Yarrowia lipolytica: one gene and its partner. The protein of the gene in region 1 purifies or fractionates together with the protein of each later gene. This does not show direct contact. Links are inferred from orthologs where the notes say so. Each region holds a gene or a part of one and is shown on either strand. Other genes may lie near its edges.

Region 1 (5,196 bases):
CCACGTCAGATCTCAAACTCAGGAAACGAAAAACCAAATCTGTACAACATGAGTGTACAGAGACAAGACAGGTGGGCAAAAGACTTAATTGACGATGGAGTATCAGAAGCGATGGATCAGTGGATCAACAAGATTTGCCCGTACTACAAAGCTCCAGCACGCTTACCGTACGTACAATGTGGGCTTGCAAAATCCATCAGTCCCACATCTCAAATTACCTGCATTGTCTTGAAAACTGTCTTGGCATGGGGACAGGCTGGTACCGATACATACGGTACGAGTACCGGGTAGGTATCGTATCAGAACAGTTATACGTGGGCCATTGTTGTGATGTGAAATGCACAGGCGGCACTTTTATCGTAAAACGAGCCCAATTTGTCTATGCCGAGGTATGTGTGGTGCTACAAGTAGTACATACGGTCCGTCTGCTACAATAGTACATACAGTAGTATGTACAGTGTATATACGGCGGTCCAAGGACTACTGTAGATACTAGTACGAGTAATACGATACTGTATTACGCTGCAAGTCCAGGTATGGTAGCGCCATTCTCCTCTTTCGCTGGCTGCCAAATTACAGGGTTGCATTTACAAAGAAAAGATACGGAGGAAAGGGTATTGACGTGACAAAGAAACCATTATAACCACTATACGTGCAAGGAGTCGGCCATGGATCGGTCTGGCCTTGGAGAGGGTATGTGGATATCTGTTTACTGTAGTAGTACCGAACGAGTCCTAGCGGGAGCCCTATTGTACAGTGCTCGTACCGGTACTTGTATATGTTTTACTTAGTCACTTAGGGTATTCTTAAAACTCAAGTAACGTACTTCAAGTATCGTACATTCTACAATGGAACCCTCAATGTTTTTTGTTGAACATGGTAAGGAAGATTAAAATGTGGAGGCTTTACTAAGGATGATATAGAGCTGAGAGCTTCAACAAGCTGTTCTATACAGTATCAATAATATCAAATATCAAGCAAACAACAAGCCAGACAAAACCTCTACTTCCCTGTATCTAATGAAGATCTTTCCCGGCCTGTAACCCCAATGATAGATCTCTACTCCTGTTGTACGACTCGCTCATACAGGCGACTCCGTTATTGTGGTTCAAATATGGAAAGATGTACTGGGTGATCAAGGTAGAGAAGTACTCAGGTTCATCAGCTGAAACACGTTTTCAAACGACTATCTGCTGCAAATTTTGAGACCCATGGACCATTTACAGGGTACGAGTACACTCCATAGTGAGATCATCGTCAACATTAGAACAAAACACAGTGAAAACAAGTTGACTCTTTTGTACAGTGAAGGGTCACTAAGACATGTACTCTGTGTCAGAAATGCCTTTGGATTCTGAATCGATTAGTGTAGGGATACTCGTACTTCTCGTCATGCCCTGTAACAGTTGAGAAGCCACGATCGGACTTCCATGAAACGGCCCTACACAGTGCAACAGTAACGAGGTGGCTATATATACGACCCTACTTTCAACCGCTTCTACCCCGACTCGTCTCGTTCTGCAATCATTACCTATATCCCTAAGAGGTGGTTCGACCGTATCCTCTGATGTCTTCAGCAAACCGCCAGTTCTGATCCTTGCATTTGATATCCTTCTCGATCTTGACATTGCCCTTGGTTATAGTGGCCACGTCGTACTTGTCGATGGACCGGGCATCTCGGTAAAAGAGAACCTTCATGCACTTCTCCACCATGGCTCGAGCGTCAGCCTCCGTCACGTTCTTGTATGAGTCGGGGTAAGGCACCAGCTGTCGCAGCAGAGGCAGGGCCAAGTAGGCACCAAAGCCCGTTGCCAGAGCGGGAGAGCTGAAGGTGACGCCGAGCAGGTCGACGTGGCTCAGAAAGGGCTCGTCCTTGCTGTCAACACCGCCCACAAGGACGGCGTTCCACAGAGGATCCATCTTTGATCTTCGGTTGTAGTAGACCTTGGACAAGTAGTTGAAGATGTTTTCCGAGTGCAGCGACTGGTCGCCGCTGTTGTCGTAGTTCTCCTCGATCTCTAGCTCCTCCAGCAGTCTCTGGACGTACTGCATGTCTGAAACGTCGCCTCCAATGCCAACAATGGTGGAATCGCCGACCTGGGTCAATCGATCCATGTTGTCGAACCGAGCCAGCGAACCGTAGGAGGCCAGGGTGTCAGCAGCCACAACCACGCCTTTATCGAACTTGATTCCAATCACAGAAGAACCGGTAACTGTGGGCTGCTGTGTGTGTTTCTTGGGCAGCGAGTGAGTGTTGGGGGCCTGCGAGATGGCATCCGAGTAGTGGCCGTAAATGTCGTCTCTTGGACGGCCCCAATTGATTGGTGATTGCTCCATTGTAAGTGTGTGTAGGTGTGTACAAGTCTCGGGTGACAGATGGATGTGGACTGTAACTGCGAGGCCATGGTGGCGGCGAAGGTTTAGGTTGGGAGGAGTGCTTATGTAATCTAAAGTGGAGGGGTTTGAAACGGGGCCAATTTTGCTCCGATTGAATAGATATTATGTCCAATATCTGATGTGACTCTCCTGTGTTTTTTTATATAGTCATATTGTGTATATATTGCTTATTAATCCCGTTCCAAGTGTTCTGTTTCGGACTACCATTGGATGTGCTGTTCGCCACCAGCAGACCCTAAAATGATGGGGTTCTCAATCTTGAGTTGACGAGGAGAGATTTTGATGGTCGGATAGAAGTACAATTACAACTATTTGTGCGATATAGCGAGCCCTTTATATATTATTTTTCTTTTATATAATTAATGCCACCCACTTTTACATCACACAATACATGTCATAACCTCTTTGCATGTGACTATGGTGGCAGCAGCAACTGTACACCCCCCTTCTCTATAATATCATCAATTGTCATTGGTTACATCGGTTAAAAGAAAGCACCGCCGGAGTTGACCTCGTTGATCTCGTTCTCGGAGAAGGGTCGGTACTGGAATCGCTTGGACAGCTCTCGTCGAGAAGCAAACTCGCCGTCTCCAGGAGGGGAATAGTTACTGCTGGAGCCCTTGTTGAGAGGGATGGTGGCAGCGGTGAATGATGGTGGTAGAGATCCGGTCGGCGACAAGGGATGGGGTCGTGGGGTGTGGTCCACTTTGACTGTGTTAGTTGGTTCAGATGGTGGTTGTTGGTAGAGTGAATGTAGGGAGGTGAGTTCAGAAGAAGAGAGGAGAGAAGAAAAGAGAAGAGCAAAGAAGAATTCGCGGAAGTTTTTTTGGTTGGTGATGGTGTCACAGCCGGAGCAGATTCGCGGTTATGCTCATGTTATGACTATGTCTGTCTCGACAGTCTCAGCACATCCTCACATGCATCATCGCGCCGCAAGGATGATGAAGTACAGCGCAATCTCGATTCGACTGAAATCAATCCAACTGTCACACGAATCTTTCCGTGACTAGGAGTCACGCTCTCAATTCATTGACCATCTTGTTGATGGCTCCTCCACACCACTCCTGTATGTCACATAGACATGTCTCTCCATATCCCGGGGCTGGTCGCGGCAATTTCAGGGCGCACAAAACGCTTCTGTGTCGAGGTCCAACTACTCAATCAGGGTCGTACTCACCGTTGGTGGGTCGCTTGCCCAGGAACTTGATCATTGGGGTTCTCAAAAGGACTCTGGTGGCTCTCATTGTGGTTTTGGTGTATTAGTTATCGGGAGAGTCGTGTGAAGTTAGAAAAGTGTACTTACCTGTGCATACAACATTAGGCTCTGGCGTTTGGTTGGGGAGACATGCCCCGAGAGGGAGTGATGGAAGCGTTCTCACTGGTGGTTCTGGACAGAAATTGAGCGCAATTTTTTTTGGAAAAGTAACAGCTGACTCATTTTTTAATTAACCAATCTTCTTCCGAGGACTAAAAGCAACTTCAGTCCCCATTTCTGACTAACACTGGAAGATCCCGGAAAAAGTCGGAACTCAATATTGCCCCGAAATCTTCTTCAACGTCACGGGAATAACAGGAGATGGGTATATTGAGGGTGATGCGGTGACAGGTGGGGTTGAACTATTGATGTCTGTCCCAGATACTCTAGCATCCAGTCTACAACTCTGAAAACACCTTTTGGACGGGTTGATGACCTTTTCCAAACACTGCTCTGAGATCGGAATCTGACTAATGGTAACTAACACAACCGGAAAGTATCATTTAGCAGGTCTATGATTGAACCGATGAAACTGGGAAATTATTGTTAATTTATTGCATTGAGTAGAGAAAGTACGGCAGAAGTGTTAAAAGTTGTATATACCATTCATTGGTTCTGTATAATGTTTCTAATGAGTAAAGTTGGTGTAATTACTTTGTAGTATACATGATACAACCCCTTGGTATGTATGTACAGTAAAACTGCAGAGCTTGGTCAAATAAGTACTGTTTTTACTACAATTCAGTCAGTGGTTTGGTGAGAGCTGCTCATCTTCCTCGCTCTTCTTCCTCATTTCATCTGTCATAATATTCACGCCCTATGTACATTACTGGGGAATGGCGTGGTATCGCTTGCCTCGGAAAGCAAACATTTGCTGGTTAAACTGGTAAACCTCCGTAGAATTGAGATCGTTGAGCTCCCACTTGGTCGAGCCAAAGATGTTCTCTGAGGGCTCCAGCAGCACGTCCAGCTTGGAGCCAAACTTGTCCATCAGCCAGTTCCAGTCTCGCTCAAGGTCATCCTTGTGGAAACCGGTGGAGAAGATGGCACACTTGGACTCCAGCAGACCGGGCAACGACTTGGCCCACTGATCCATGGCCTCGGGGGCTCCCAGACCGGGGTGGAACAGGAAGAATGCATCCAGGTAGGGGTCGTAAGGGAAGAAATCATGAGCCTCGTGGAGCACATGGAAGTAGTCCGAGTAGAACTTGAAGGTCATGGTGTCGTCGATCTTCATCTCCACGGGTCGCGAGTGCTGCACGTACTGGTGCTTGTCTCGGTCGTAGTAGGCCTCAGGACCAATGAAGTACAGCTCCCACTTGGCGGTAGGGATGAGATACGAGAGCTGTTTCCACACGTGGGGGGGCAGCTGGGACTCGGCTCGGGCGCCCAGAATGAACAATCGGATGGGTCGATCGTTCAGAGCACGGGACTTGTCGATGGGGAACAGAGAGTATCGCAGAGCAGCCAGGGATTTGAGACCCTCGAGGGTCAGAGGACCGTTAGGCTTGAGAGCGTAAGGGGACATTGTGTGCAGCACGGAG
Region 2 (5,262 bases), on another chromosome or scaffold:
GGAAAGTACATACAGTAGTACATTGATTGATCTACTGACGTTGTATAGATATATGCTGTTAACTGAGGGCATTTCTGTGTATACATACATACTGCAGTCCTACAGTATTGGAGCAGAGGTCTACCTCTTCCCCCTACCCCCTTCAGTTATTTGTACATATTCTATCATGGATCTGTTTCTCTATTATTTATGTTCTCCGGACGCCCATCTATGTCCTTCTCATTCAACGTCGAAATCGATCTCCGCGGAGTCTCCTGCGGCGTAGTCAAACAGGTCCTGGAGAGGCTCGAGTCTGGATTCGTTGGCAGCTCTCTGGTTGGCAATGTGGCGTTTGAGCGATGCAGAGATGAGGGTCTTTGCTCTCTGAAGCTGTTCGTTCATGTTGTGGAGCTCGCTATTGAGCTTCTGCATCCGTTGGAGCTCGTTAGTCAGTTCCTCCACCTCCTGCTCACGCATCTTGAGCTCGTTGAACAAGGTGATGACACCTGCTCGGAAGGCGAGGTCTTCGGCCGCGTCACAAATGACAGCCGAGACGGGACGGAGACGCGGATTGTCCTCGCAGGCCTCCTTGAGAGCCAGAAAGGGGTCCTGCTTGGTGGGAGGCGTGTTGGTGATCATTTGTGGGCTAGCTAGATAAGTGTTTAGTTGAGACAAAGAAGAAGCTATTTGTTTTGTTGTCATAAATATAGAGTTACTGGGACAACTATTTGACATACTCAGAGGTGCAGTACTGTAGATAACGCGAGAGAGAGAGAACCCGACAGACAGATGAGATGACGCGTATTGTACTTGTAAAACACAACCAATGAGCTATACAATAGTCTTGAGAACGACCCAGATTCACTTGGATGTAATTCTTAGATTTCCCACTCAACAGTGTTCGTCTTCCTTACCATTATCTTCTGTGAACAAAACCATCCTGTATGAACAGTTACAGTAAAACGAGTACACACACAAATCCACCCCTATGTTCCTTCCACTGTCCATTTTCATATCAATATATTTATTCCTTCTCTAATTGGCCTCAATGAGGGATGTTAATAGAATCATCATGCTAAAACCATCACCACGCCATCTTCTCAGTGTACCATATTCTCATCTCTTCGGTATTAATCCTGCTCGGCGATAGCCACCAGCCGCTCGTCAATCTCCTCCACAGTCAACTTTCTAAATCCGTCCTTTGTAGCCACACCAATCTCAATGTCATTCTTCTTGAAGTCCACAGACAGAGCAGTGGAAAGAGCGGAAATGGCGGTTTCGGTTACCTCGTTGACATCTCCAGCAGCATACTCCTTCTTCTTGAGCTTCTTTTCCAGGAAGTTGTTAGCCTCCTGCTGCTTGGGACCCGATGCAGTGGCCTTGTATCCCACGTAGTAGCCGGCAGGGTCGCACTTGTACAGCTCAGGTCCCCGCTCGTCGTCAATGGCAATCAGCGTCATGATCACGCCCAGCGGTCGCATGTATGCTCTCTGAGTGTACACCTGGTTGATGTTGGCCATTCGCTTGGCCAGCATATCGCAGGGCATGTCGTATCCGTACTTATATCGGAACTCTGCGGCCTCTCCTCGGGCTCGTTGGACAGCTGCACGAGCGTCGGGAATCTGGCCAGTCAGCACTGCTCCGATGCTAGGAGAGATTCGGAAAATGTACGACACGGTGGAAGGGTCCAACAGCTTGTCGGAGATTTTCTTTTGCGAAACGACAACCGCGCAGTCCTTGCCTCGGATGCCCAGCGACGTGATGTTGGCAGAGTTGCATGCTTTGAAGGCGTACTCGACCTGGTACAGTCGGCCCTCAGGCGAAAAGATGGTAATGTGGCGATCGAATCCAGCAGAGCCTGTGTTAGCGATATCCGAATAGTCGGCGGCGCAATCGAGTCGCGTGATCCGTCTTGTCCCCATTGGCGACCGATCCATCGCTCAATACTTACCTGACATTTTCCTGTTGTGTGGTTCTGGGTGGCAATGAAGAGTACTGTAACCACCGTGAGCATGATGTATGTGGCGATGCGGGAGAGTAGGGTTAGGGTTAGGAGGGAACCACCCTGAGAGCGATAGTTGGGGTTTAGTTGGGAGTTCAGTTGAATGTGGAGGAGAGGTGAGTTGGTGGTGTTTGGAGGGTTACGGAGCTCAAAAAAAGTCGATTGGGGAGGTCTGAGTGGATGATACTATTATTCATATAGACTGAGACTCCTGTGAGGGTATTTGGTGCCTTACTTTGAGTGTTATGTTGAGCTGACCTCGGTTAAACAGGTAAACTAATCTCAAACTTGAGGTTCTGAAAACGGAAATTTATAAGGGACGTTTCCATCGTGTTGGAGGTGTTTGATCAAGCTAGTGATTTTTCCAGTCGTTCAAATGTAGCTTTAATAATGGTTTTCCGGAATTTTTATATTTCTGACGTCTCTATACCCTCCGTTATATTGACTCTTTTGAGACTACTGTATGTACAGTATGTACTTGTAGATGTTAGCTGTGTATAGTGGTAAGGAGGTAGAGACATGGCAGTGGGTATTGGGTCAGGTGCTACATGATGAGAGAAAATTACTTGCTCAATAAAGTAAGCCATGGTCAGATAATGGCCAACATTAGAGAAAAAGATATGCTCACAAGCCATTTTTCCCGACTTTTCGCCACCTTTTCTATCTGTCCTAGAATTTCACCCTACCAATAAAGTTTCTTATATGCACAATTAATTCACCTCCATCACCCATCTCCAGTGCACTAAACAATATACGACAGAAAAAAAAAAGCACATAATACGGGATTTATCGGCAGAGACGCGGCACAAGTGACACCAAAATCAACGCGACACCGTCACAAACACAACACATAGCATCACATCACATTCCACTTCTCTACAGTCATGTCAGAACCAACCATCGTGTTTGACTCCAAGACGGTGGAAAACACGCCTCTCTACGAGTCGTTTCTGACGACACAAAAACGCCGCGTGTCGTACCATTTCAACGAGGAGGCTGCGCGATACCATTATGGAGTCCGTCACCCCATGAAACCGTTTCGACTCATGCTGACAGACCATCTGGTGCTGGGATACAAGCTACACAACAAACTGGACTTGTACAGATCCCGAAGAGCCACAGAAACAGAGGTGCGGGAGTTCCACGCCGAAGAGTACATTGATTTCTTGCAACGTGTCACTCCGGATAACATCAAAAAGTTCCAGCGAGTTTTACCCAAGTTTAACATTGGAGACGATTGTCCCATTTTCGACGGCATGTACGACTACTCGATCATTTACGCAGGTAGCAGTTTGGACGCGAGTCGAAAGCTTCTTGCTGGCCAGTCAGATATCGCCATCAACTGGTCTGGAGGTCTGCATCATGCGAAAAAGTTTGAAGCCAGTGGATTCTGTTATGTGAACGACATTGTGTTGGCGATTCTGAACCTTCTCAGAATGTATCCACGTGTTCTTTACATTGATATCGACATTCACCACGGAGACGGAGTGCAGGAGGCGTTCTATTCGACCGACCGAGTCATGACTCTGTCGTTCCACAAGTATAACGGAGAGTTCTTCCCTGGTACGGGAAACTTTGACGAGATTGGAACTAGTCTGGGCAAGAACTACTCACTCAACGTGCCGCTACGAGACGGAATCGACGACGAGTCGTACGTGCGGCTGTTCAAGAGTGTTTTAGAGCCTGTTCTCAACAGTTACAGACCCTCGGCTATTGTGCTTCAATGTGGAGCTGATTCGCTTGGTGGAGATCGTTTGGGATGTTTCAATCTCAACATCAAGGCCCATGGAGAGTGCGTTGCATATACAAAGTCGTTTGGCCTGCCTCTGATTGTGCTTGGAGGAGGAGGATACACCCCTCGCAACGTGTCTCGATTGTGGTGTTATGAGACCAGTGTGTGTCTGGACGTTGATCTGGAGACTCGGTTGCCTTCTTCCATGCCTTTTCTCAAGTATTTTGCTCCAGATTACTCGTTGCATCCCAACCTGGCTGGTAAGATCGACAACAAGAACTCCCGCAAGTTTCTGGATTCTGTGCATGTGCAGGTGATGGAACAGCTGAGAACTTTGCAGGGAGCCCCCAGTGTTCAGATGGCTGAAATTCCGCCGGACCTGGCCGGTCTGACTGAGGAGGGAGAAAAGCAGCGACGAGATGAGCTTGACGAGGCGATGAAGGATGCGAGGTAGTCGGGCATGGAGCACATTATATTTATTGTAAATAGGCAGGGAGTCGAAAGGCTCGTAATCAACTAATGATGATATTGGGGGCACAGAAACGACTTCAAGTACCACTATCGATAGTTGACGCATTTACTTGAGACGGACGACGGATACTCGTACAAAACTGGACATTGTTCAACACACCAGATATGATCGTTTGTCTCCTTAGAGGTATGCTTACGCGCTACACTTAGACTTGCAGGGTTATGCTTATTGGAGGCTCAAAAATGGGCTGATGAAAAGTATTGCAACTGTATCTGGATGTATGTTGCATTATCGACCGTGGCATTTGCCAGAATGGGAGTGAGACGGGAGCACGGGCTTTTTCGGACGTGTGACGGCGTGCGTTGTTTCAGATTTATTTGATAAGATCGGCGTGAGAATTTTGCGCTGCTGAGTATGGTGGTATTCGGCCGGCTCGTGGATTAGGAGAGGGCCACCAGGTGCTAGTGTGTTGGATAGTGGTCTGTTTTCTATGTACATACAGTTCAATTGAGTGATTTCTTTTTCAGTCTTGTTGAGCTGCTACTTTACTCGTATCGTACTTGTAGCATCACCAGTCGTTTTGGATGAGCGATTAAGTTGATCTGATAACTGCGAGCTGTGCTTGAGTTGCCTGAATGGACAAGATTTCCAAGTGCATTAATTGGTTTGTGGACGAATGGCAATCTTGATAATCGCCCTGCGAGGAGACTTGATTCGCAGAGACGGCGACAGTGAGACATCTCAGACATGACTCTTTGCTTTCTGACGGTGACGGTGGCTCCAGTAGCTACTTGTAGCTAGTTACGGTATCGATCTAGACTCAATTGGCTCACTGACACAAGTATGGCAGTCCACCACATTCCGGCCCATTAATACGACATAAACGCCTGCCTACAAACACTCTGGACCACCTTTCAATTAGTCACCCATCTTCTCAGCCGCTTGTCATTTTCCGATGACGCACTTTTGGCATCGTTTGGCCGCACGCACTGTACGTACAGTACAGTAAATTACAGTATAACCGAGTCTGGAGGTGTGAAGATCTCGGCTTTGGCGGGTTGGAGATGGGTATGAAAA

What was found.
Region 2: the proteins of YALI1_E38526g (region 1) and YALI1_C07770g purify together in Saccharomyces cerevisiae (affinity purification with mass spectrometry; 4 studies listed by BioGRID). This does not show direct contact. The link is inferred for Yarrowia lipolytica from reciprocal best matches to the Saccharomyces cerevisiae genes PRE4 and SCL1.

Annotation. Positions count from the first base shown.
Region 1 is NC_090774.1:3,849,718-3,854,913, reverse strand, and holds YALI1_E38526g (uncharacterized protein), read right to left. Parts: upstream 2,338-5,196; coding exon 1,540-2,337; downstream 1-1,539. Other genes in the region: YALI1_E38512g (uncharacterized protein), read right to left, coding at 2,882-3,108, 3,575-3,641; YALI1_E38491g (uncharacterized protein), read right to left, coding at 4,479-5,196. UniProt on the Saccharomyces cerevisiae protein: Non-catalytic component of the proteasome which degrades poly-ubiquitinated proteins in the cytoplasm and in the nucleus. It is essential for the regulated turnover of proteins and for the removal of misfolded proteins.
Region 2 is NC_090772.1:775,157-780,418, forward strand, and holds YALI1_C07770g (uncharacterized protein), read right to left. Parts: upstream 1,917-5,262; coding exon 1,110-1,916; downstream 1-1,109. Other genes in the region: YALI1_C07758g (uncharacterized protein), read right to left, coding at 220-714; YALI1_C07780g (uncharacterized protein), read left to right, coding at 2,866-4,167.